2 linked regions of the Caenorhabditis elegans genome follow. The protein of the gene in region 1 interacts with the protein of each later gene in a pairwise test. Each region holds a gene or a part of one and is shown in the gene's direction. Other genes may lie near its edges.

Evidence for each region.
Region 2: the proteins of zim-1 (region 1) and C01C10.2 interact in a two-hybrid assay, tested with the Caenorhabditis elegans proteins (one large-scale study listed by BioGRID).

Annotation. Positions count from the first base shown.
Region 1 is NC_003282.8:10,545,328-10,550,149, forward strand, and holds the start of zim-1 (C2H2-type domain-containing protein), read left to right. Parts: upstream 1-1,758; 5' UTR 1,759-1,760; coding exon 1,761-1,859; intron 1,860-1,927; coding exon 1,928-2,652; intron 2,653-2,826; coding exon 2,827-3,139; intron 3,140-3,887; coding exon of another isoform or gene 3,888-4,174; intron 4,175-4,822.
Region 2 is NC_003284.9:7,434,867-7,440,025, reverse strand, and holds C01C10.2 (MYM-type domain-containing protein), read left to right. Parts: upstream 1-1,907; 5' UTR 1,908-2,054; coding exon 2,055-2,162; intron 2,163-2,426; coding exon 2,427-2,600; intron 2,601-2,645; coding exon 2,646-2,808; intron 2,809-2,900; coding exon 2,901-3,056; coding exon of another isoform or gene 3,057-3,088; exon of another isoform or gene 3,089-3,115; coding exon 3,116-3,216; intron 3,217-3,260; coding exon 3,261-3,314; intron 3,315-4,115; coding exon 4,116-4,229; 3' UTR 4,230-4,424; downstream 4,425-5,159. Other genes in the region: Putative 1-acyl-sn-glycerol-3-phosphate acyltransferase acl-12, read left to right, coding at 115-300; clc-5 (Clc-like protein 5), read right to left, coding at 4,573-4,665, 4,994-5,159.

The DNA of each region.
Region 1 (4,822 bases):
TATAGAAATTAAAATTTCAGGTTTTTGATGCTAGATGACGTCAACTATGTTGAACTTTTCAACAGAAAATTTCAAGAAATTCCTAAATCATTTTAGACAAAATTGATTTTATAGGCTTTCTGACACCGTTTTGTGTTTTTTATGTATTTTAAAGTCAAAACTTTTTTTTTCAAAATGTGGCTCACAAAAATATTTGCTTGGTTGAATATTAAATTTAGCGCCAGTGAATTTAAAAAATCGTTCGCTGAAAAAATTTATTTACAAATACAGAAAGGTTCGCCCGCCAGATTAAAAAAAAAGTACGTTTTAATACAAACCAGTTTTTGAATGAGATCATCAAAATGTGTTCTGAATGTGAAAACAACTGAGTTACCAATAAACAACATTTTTAGAATTTTTGGTGGATATTTTATGTATGTAAAATTGTTTTTTGGTCGTACTGAGTCGTACTGAAATACAATTTTAAGTGATTTATGTTTATCTAAATTTTTGAATGGTAGCGTCCTATTTTTTTGGAAACTTGGTTTGAAATGATAGACAATGAGGCGCAAATAAAAAAGATTCTAAAACTTTTTTAAAATTCTTCATCTGAACTTGAAAAATATATAAATTTTTTTCTATTTCTCGGCAAATATTTATGTTTTTTCAGTTTTATTTTTTTGTTTTGATGGTTTAAATTGAACCGAAGAAAAACAACAAAAAAAAATTATAATTTTTGTTCGAAAAACGGAAAAAAGAGATTTCGAAAAGTGGGCGTGGGCAATTCTTCCTTTTTGGTGAATACAGTCCATTTTCAATCATCTACAATACAATACTCACAGACTCTATATTATAATCTTTGAAATTAATTAACAGTCACAACAATTCGACCAACTTCTTCATGATGTTTTGAATTTAACGACGTGGAGTTTAGTCTTTCATGGTTTATGATGGCCAAGGGACCGATGGAAATAAATTGAAATTAAATTATGAAAAGGGAACAATTTGACCGAATGATCTTTCTCACAGGCAACTGATGCAATGATAAGAGACTGACAAAAACCAGTTAAAAATATCTTGTTTGGTGAAGATATTGGAAAAAAGGCAAAAGCCGTTAAAAGTCATTAAAGGATTAACTTATCAAGTACATTGAAGTTTTCTCTCTATTTAGTTTTGTGAGATGTCATGCCTTCACAGTGTGAAGTTTGAAGATGTTTGAATTGGTTGGCAAATTCGGATTTGGATGCGTTGTAGATTATGACTGGATTAGACAAAGAATGGTGCGGTTGTTTTTATCGTAACAAAAAACAAATCCATAATTAAATCAAGGAGATTGCTATGGCAGTAATTGTGATTTATTAATATTTGGAAACAAATTGAGCTTTCTTTTTTCTAAGTGCAAGTGCAACATGCTGCTTACAAAAGAAGCACGATTGCTAAACAATACAGAAAATTTTTTCAACTACCGTATGCATTAAAGGCGCATCACACATTTGGCTGGGGTCTCGCGACGACCAGTCCTTTCTTCAAAACACTCAAATTTTCATCGCTCTTTTTAAGTTTTTTTAAAATTGTTTTTGTTTTGTAAATTTAAATTTTATTAGCTTTGTGAAATTTTCTATTCAACATCTAAACAAAGTTAAAAAAAAAACTTGAAATTCAAAATTCTTACTTCTCTTGTGGATGCCTTTATTATTGCGATACATTCACTGTGTTCGTTTTAAATTTCCTTTTAAAAATGCAGTTTTAAAAGTGTTTCATTGTCATTTTATATTTTCCAGATGACTTGTGATGATTGGAACAGTTATATTCAAGTGAACATTTATGGAAAAACCATAGAAGGACTTCAGCAGCAAGGAGTTGTGTTGGAATCTCTTTTGGTTAGTTCGATGATGAAATTTCATCTCTGGTGATACTTGAATCTGAATATGGTGTTTATCAATTTCAGAACAACGTCGGCTGCTCTAAAGTTTGGATCATGGAGGGCTCCGTCTGCACAAATCCTAGACCCGAAAGCTCTACACATTCTGAAGAAAGTACAATCGAACCAGTTGTACCACTAAGTACAACTCTGGCCACTAACAAGCTTCCTCGATTTTCAACTCCTGCTATCGGCCATTCAAATAATAATTCCAGTAAAAATTTCACATTGAATTTGGCTGAGAAGCTCTCAGAGATACTATCGGATGACGATAAAACTGATGAATTCCTGGAGAACTCTCATCAATCCGAAACTTCGAAGGACGACGTGATTAAAGATTTGCTCGAAGAAATGGTACAAACGGTTGCCAATTCTAATAAACCTCCGATTCTTTTGAGCACAACTCTCGCAAATGTTGGTGTTCCCCGCTTTTCAACTCCCATCAAACCACAACATGCATTGAATCGAGATTTCACGATGAACATGACAGAAATGATTTCCGAAATCGATTCGAATTATGAAGGTTATGAATTATTCGACGATTCCTCCAATGACTGTACCACCTTGACCCCCAACTGCCAGGAGGTCGAATCGTCATTTTATCGAGCACTTTCTGAAGCAGCTAGTTCCATTGTTCCATATCAGGAAGGAAAGAGAAGAAGCTCGAGACGTTTGAGTACTCTGAGTAGTCTCAAGGAAACTGTCAAAGTAGAGCCTGCAGTTTCAAAATTAACGAAGAGAAGACGGCTCACGTAAGAATTTTTCTGTGACGAGAATTCTGCCCGTTCAGAGATCGCTGCAGATCGAATTATCATAACTTCAATTTCTTTTTTAAAAAACGGATTTATTAGCATGAATATATTCAAAATTTCAATAATCCGAATCACCGTCGAAGTTATGTACTTAAGAGTTTCATTATTTTTCAGACCGGTTGAATGTTCAAGTGAAACTATGATTCCACACTCCCAACCAATACCACTGGATACTTGCTCAGATCAACCCATTTTTCCCAATTCGACACACAATGCTATTCAATCTGATGGATTCTCATATGAACAACCTATTTGTGAATTTGGAGATAGTCAATTGTTTTTGTCAGCAAAAAGTCTTTGCACTGAGCCGAACAGTTCTATTGCTGAGGATGTGAAGCCGGTTTTGACAGTTTCGGATTCCGACATAACAGCTTCCAACAGGAATAATATCGATGATCATAATCGAGTCATAGAACTGTCAACTGAGGTATGATTTGAGTAATTTCCTTTATTTTTAATTTGTAAATCATCACAACTGACAAGGGAAGTCTTTGAGGGGGTCCCTAGATTTGGGATTCTCATGTTGAAATTCCAATAGAAGAGTATTCCAGATGATCCCTCCAAAAAATTTAGCTGCCCAGGTTGGGTTTCAGCAAAGTTATGACGTTTTGAAAATTCGGTCTGAAATCGGTTGATTTGTATACTAAATCAACGGTCGGCATCGGCCCGGGACACCATAGTTGTCACCAGGCGCGTGGTGTGAGCAAATCATCGGTTGGTTGGTTGAGTGGTAACGAGATGGGTTCTGGTGGTGAAGGTTGTGGGTTCGATCCCTTGCGTTATAAAGCTTTTTTTAAAAGTTTTTACTGTATTTTAAAAACAGTAAAAAGTGTGATTGAAATTACTTTTACTGACTTTCTCCACCTTTTTGAGTTTCTTATAAACGTTTGCATCACATTTTCTCACATTTTTTGAATTAAAAAAATTTCAAAAAAATCAAAATTTTCATCATCAAAGTCATGAAAAAAAATAGAAATCTCAGATTTTCAGATAACTATAAAAAACCCACCGAAAGATTATTTTCATTATTAAACTCATGGTTAAAACGTATTTCGCGATAAACTGGGCCGTGACCGACGGAAAGGGCCACTGGTGTAAACCGCCGTTTTTGTTCGAATTTTTTTTTAGTAATTTCACCGTTTTTTTGTTGTTTTTACTTATTGAATTAAAGGTAAATGCCGTTCCGTGCTGATCTTATTGTTGGAGGACTGGTGGAAGAGTTTGGACATGAATATAATCCAAGTTTCATGAGCCGCGAGGAACAAAAAATTCTCGAACGTGTTCGAAGAATATTGCGTGATGGAAAAACTCATGAGCTGATCGTGTATAGTGAGGATGAAGAGGAAATTGTCGGTGGAATAGTAGAGGATGAAAATTGGACAGCAGACGATGATGGTCCCACTACTTATGCTCTTCCGGACAAAGTAAATTTCTCGGGAAATCTAGTAGATGTGGAGACTGTGAGTTTTCAACTATGTCTAAAAAGTTTGTAAAAGAAAGACGTTTTTACGGTTTTCGAAAGCCACCGTATTTTTATAAATGCTACCAACTTATGTGTATGTTTTGAATTGTAATACTGTTATCAATACAGGTTGAAAAGGCTATTGAATTTATGATGGATACAAAACATAACAAGTTCCTCACAATGTCCAGTGTACAGCATCGTTACCGTTTTATCAAGTCAGAAAAGGATATGAAGAAGCTCCGAAAGTTCGCTAGAAATCGTCAGTTTTCTTTTTCCATATTCTCGGTGCACAACTATTTATTTGTTTTAGAAAAAGTCAATTGTTCTCGAGCTTCCAGCTTCGCAAAACTGTCAGAACTTTTGAGAGCAAAAGTTTTTGAGACAATGGAAGCAAGTGAGTGTTTGATTGCAAATTAAATTTGCATGCTTTATTTTTTAGAAGTTCAAATCGACAAGCTCACACTTCGACGAATGGCAGTTGATCTAAATGAAGAGTTTGTGCACATTGACGATTTCAAGGCTTCAGACGATTGGCTCGCAAAATGGAAGAAGTCAAATGGTTTGGTATCTCGTCATATCACTACTTTTGTGACCAAAGCTAGTTTCGCAAATAAAGAAAAGACAGAAGAAGCGGCAAAGAAGTAT
Region 2 (5,159 bases), on another chromosome or scaffold:
ATTAGATACAGTGATGATACAGTGACATAAGTTAAACGAATATTTTTGCGAACGAAATAACATTGGTAGAAAACAAAAACTTCATTATTAATAAAAACTATTTTAATTTTTCAGGACAAGCTTCTTGCGGAGTTCTACAAAACGGGTCATTTTCCCGGAGATAAGACAAAAGTGATTCCAAACAACTATGAGATGATGTTTGCCCAGGTGTTCTGGGGATGTCTTTATTACGCGCATTACGTGTATTGGCTCCGTCCTCTCATTGTACATTCCTGGACGTCATTTTTATCCATTTTTTAACTTTTTTTTGAATAACCGTTTCATTTTCAATCCCCTCTACGTTTACATACTGGTTATTTCATTCTCACACATTCTTCCTATGGATTGTCACCCACTACATTTTGTTACATTTCTTGTCTGTACTCAAATTGTTATCTGCTTCTGAATAATATTTATTATGATTTCATTGTTTCCCCCAATTTGTTTCCATGTCATCTTGGGTACTTGATTTGTTATTGAGCACCACGTCAAAAGATCCCCCAATCTTCAAACAGGTCTGAAGTCATACTTGCAGTACGTATCTGCCCGAACTATTTGTAATTAACAAATAAATAAAATTCTTTAATATTACGTATTTGACTTTTCAGAAAAAAAATATAGCCAAAAAATTTATATTACTCTGAAATTTTTTTGTTTTATCTTATTATCAAAAAAAAAACATTATTTGAACTAAAAATAAATACATTTTTTTTATAAATTAATTGAACCAACGGAGCATTAAGCAAAATATTTGTTTTTTTGCATTAAGACGACTTCCAGAGAAAAATATTTATAAATACATGTAATGGACTTTTTATTAAACCTTGAAACATTTAATTTTAATGTGCCATTTGAAAATACTTACTTAAAACAATCTTAAGTGGCAAACCTCCATTCTCAACTCTTCAACTTTTGATCTGAAATAGTTTTTAGAGCATTTTCATGTTGCTTTTTAGGCTCAACAAACTGATTCAAAATCTGGTTTTTGCTGGTTAAAAAACGTTTGAAAGTTTAAAAATTATCAAATATTTTAAAAATCTTATTATTTTCCACTCAATTCTATTTGAAAATTTCACATTGTTTTCCCAAAAACATTACCCATAAAGACTTCAAAGTAATATTCAGACTATCAAAATTATGCACTGATTTTTAGCAATTCTTTGAGCTTCGTCGAGTAGTGAAAGCACATATACGCACTGAAAATTGTTTTAGATAGGTGTTGAATATGGAATTTTTGCTGGAATTTCAGAGCAAAAATTTTAAATAGGCACCTCTGCGGATACTTCAAAAACATATGACTAAAGTTAAAAAACAGAATGCAAACCTTTTTTGGTGGATGAAATTTAAACAAACATTTTGAAAGTCTAGTTACTGATAAAATCCCTCCATAAAAAAAAACTGATTTTTGCCTTGTCCGCCAATTAAAAAAAACATTTTTTAGACCACTTTGTATGAAATAGAAAAGAAAGCAAAACTAGTTTTAGATCGGTAAAAATGTTCACTTCTGCAAATATGTCCATCTCCTCTTCACTTTCTATTTGCAGAGAACATTAGGTAAGTCAGTATTAACTGCTTTTGTATCACAAAACCCAAGTGGAGACGGTGAAAGAAAAATATAGACTGACTGTGAGAAAGAAGGCAAACATTCTGGAAAACGAGGGAAAAACGAGAAGGACATTGAGATGGATACGCCCAAATTGTTGAGGAGGCAAATTGTTTAATAGAATAAAAGAACACATTGCGGATTCTACAATTGGTCAGTGTAGGCGGTTAGTCCAAGCAGTCAAACAGCCGGCAGTCTCCTCATAAAAACCTGTTTTCTATAAGACTTGGAGTCGTAGGGGTAACGAGACAGTTGGGGGTCTCTTTTTAGTGAGGACATCACTATTTGATTATTTATTCGGTCCCTCCTTTTTTTTATTTGACTTTTCCTTCCCGCCTCTTTTCTCTGTCAAGGTAATCTATCTATCTACCTCACTTCTATAGGAAATTTCATACAAGTTTTCGAAAACATCATGACTCTACCTGTGTCAATGGATGACAAGGAATTATTTCCCAAGGTGGATATTCTCAATCTTACTTTTTCACCAAAATCGGAAATCAGCGAGGATGTATTCAAACAGGTGAGTTATAAGCTTCTTTTTTCCGGTATTTGTATATTATATGCTTTCATTAAAAAAATCAGAGTTTCATTCATTTCTTTATTTAAAATAAATGTGATAAATTTTAATTTTCACTTTTTAGGCCTAGATATGATTATTTCCTAAACGTAAAAATACACAAATATTCCGCACATTTTTGTTTTATAACTTAAAAAAAACTTTTAGATGAGTATTCTTATCCTAAGGACTTCCTAAGGACATTTTGTTCACTAAACTTTTTTTTAGATGTTCTCTTCTCTCGACCGTCTCTGGTGGTCACGGCTTGTCATTTCGATTCGAGGATACGTAATCAATTACGTTCAACAAAACGATGAAGTACTGTTCAGTTGCGATGACGCATTCATCAAAATTCATCAGAAATTGGCGGAACGAAATAGTCAATTTGAAGATGCCTTTGAGGTACTTTTGTGAATTGTGGCGAAAAGTATATTTTTTGATTTTCAGTATCTAACTGCAATTTTCCATGTCATAAGAGAGAAGAATACATTGATTCAAATGATTTCCAATCCTAAAAGCATATCGACAACCAAAATATCTCCCAACTTGGACCGCTCGTTCAACATTATACATGGAAATCTTACACCCAAGACTATTCAGCTGACCATTGGTATGACCTTTTGTCTCTTTTCTCTCCCACATATGATTTAATTTATTGATAACCTGATCACGTTTTCTGTTTTGAAACAAACAATTATTCAGCGCAACTGCCGGCCTATACCATGTTTATCAAAGTTGTTGTAAACTTGCAACAGAGATGGGAAAATGAGAAGTTGAAGAAAAAATCGATTCGTTTTGAGACAGACCCAGAATGGGAACCCGATGAGAGAGTTGTCCTTTTTCAAACCTTCGCATCAGGTATGACAAGTCGCATCAGGTATGACAAGTAAAAAAATAACGTTCAAACTGTTTTGCAGACAATCGTACTTGGGTTCTTTTAGACTTTGATAGGTACATTCTACAACAGTGGAAACCAAGCGGAACCTCTGTTATCTTTGGAGACAGATTTGTTGAAAAGGTAGAAAAAGTAATTATGAATTAGATTGAGAAACATGATTACAGAAAAAGAGAGCTGGTCTGAAGCTTTGTTCAACATGTGGAATGTTGGAGCAAAAGGTATGTTAAGCTAGCTCACTCATTAAACATGGGTCGTCAAATGCGGATGATGTGGGGACGCTTTAAATTGAAAACTTCAATATAAAAAGTGAAAAGTGAAAAACAAAAAATTGGAAACTATAATTAGAAAACCTTATTTGACCGCAAATTAAAATTTTTTGAAAATTAAACAAACGTGATGAAAAACAAATGCCTTTTTAATCCTTTTTAATCTGAAATTATGCTCGGGCGTTTTAGTCTCCAATGCTAAATAATAGATCAATTTCTAACTTTTTTGATATGTATTGCACATCATGTACAAAAATAGCTTTTGAAGCAAGACCTACAGATGACAGTCAACTCACATACATATCGATAGTTTCATGCCTAAAAAATATATACATGAGAAAAATACTTTTTGAAAAGGTGAAGTTAGCCTGTTTCCAAATTTGAAAGCTGATCAGGGCTAGATTTTTTGTTTTGACTGTTTTACAGTTTTCGCGCAGATACTTGTACTAAAAATTTTTTAAAAAGTTTTTAAAAATCTTCTCTGGAGAAATTTTGGTATGATTTAGCTTTCTCAGGTATGTATTAAGATGCAAAAATATATTGAAACAATGTGGTATATAAATTTTAGCCGCGTTTGTTTTTTAAACTTTTCTCAAGCTTGTTTTTAAATTAGCAATTTCTATTGAACTTTCAGTTTTGGTTACTTTTGATGTCTTACAAAACCATCGAGTATTATTGTTAAATGTAAGGTGCATAGGAAAAACAACAAATTTGTTATCCATATGACTAAATCCAGTGATCGAATAATTTCAGAAAGCACAATTCGCCTCTTTAGACGAGAAAGCATATTGTTCAAAAACGTGTTTTGATGAACTAAATCCTCCGATGACAGTGAACAATCGAGGTGCCACTGTTGTCCACTTATAATGCGATTTGTACATTTAGTTGTCCTATATTCGAATCTACATGGAAAAACCATCAACGATCAGCACAACCATCAACGTTTTATTAATTCAGTATTTTACAAACTTTTGAGAATGTTTTGTTATTAATGGAAACTATTTGATATTGTACAAAAGCCACAATTGAATCTAATTGAAAATAAAGACTCGTTATATATATATTCTGTGAAGCATGCCATCAAATTTGCGGGAAGTGAAACAAGAAGTTACAACTGAGTAAAAACAAAGAGAACAATGGAATTAGAAACATTTAGAGATTCTTTTGTTGAGTTATTTTCTGATTAGATTAAACTATTAGGTTAAACTATTCAATAACTGTAAAAGTGTCGGGTTTGTGACTTGAAATCGCCACGAGGAGAAATTGCTCCAGCAATGTAGGATCCGTGTTCGGTAGAAGGAATCTAAAATGAGGAACTTGAACGTATAAAATTACATTTTAGTATCTGTTTTTACAAGAAAATGAAACGAACAAAGTGAATACATATCAAAAAATTAAACCTGTTCACCATTTTTCTAATCATTTTCTAATCACTATAATCACTATAGTTGGTTGTAAGGTATTTTGAATTTTTGTTAGCAAAATTAGACTATAAAAAACTTCCAACTCTGTTCAAATTTTTCCTGAATTTGAAAATGAATGAGATAAAAACTGATTTCTAAAGAAGAAGCTTATGTGTCAAATGATTTGACTTTTTAAACTTGCGTCGTTTCACCCATCTTGAAACTCACCTGCATGCTTAACTGTGACATTGGCGGTTGGTACGGTTGTGGCAGATCGTTATTGTATCTTACCGCAAATTGGTTGTTCGACATCTTTAATGTGTATTCGCTATCCGCAACTTCCTCTGGGAACAAGAATGTGTATGTGGATACGAGAGCGGCAAATAGGACGGTG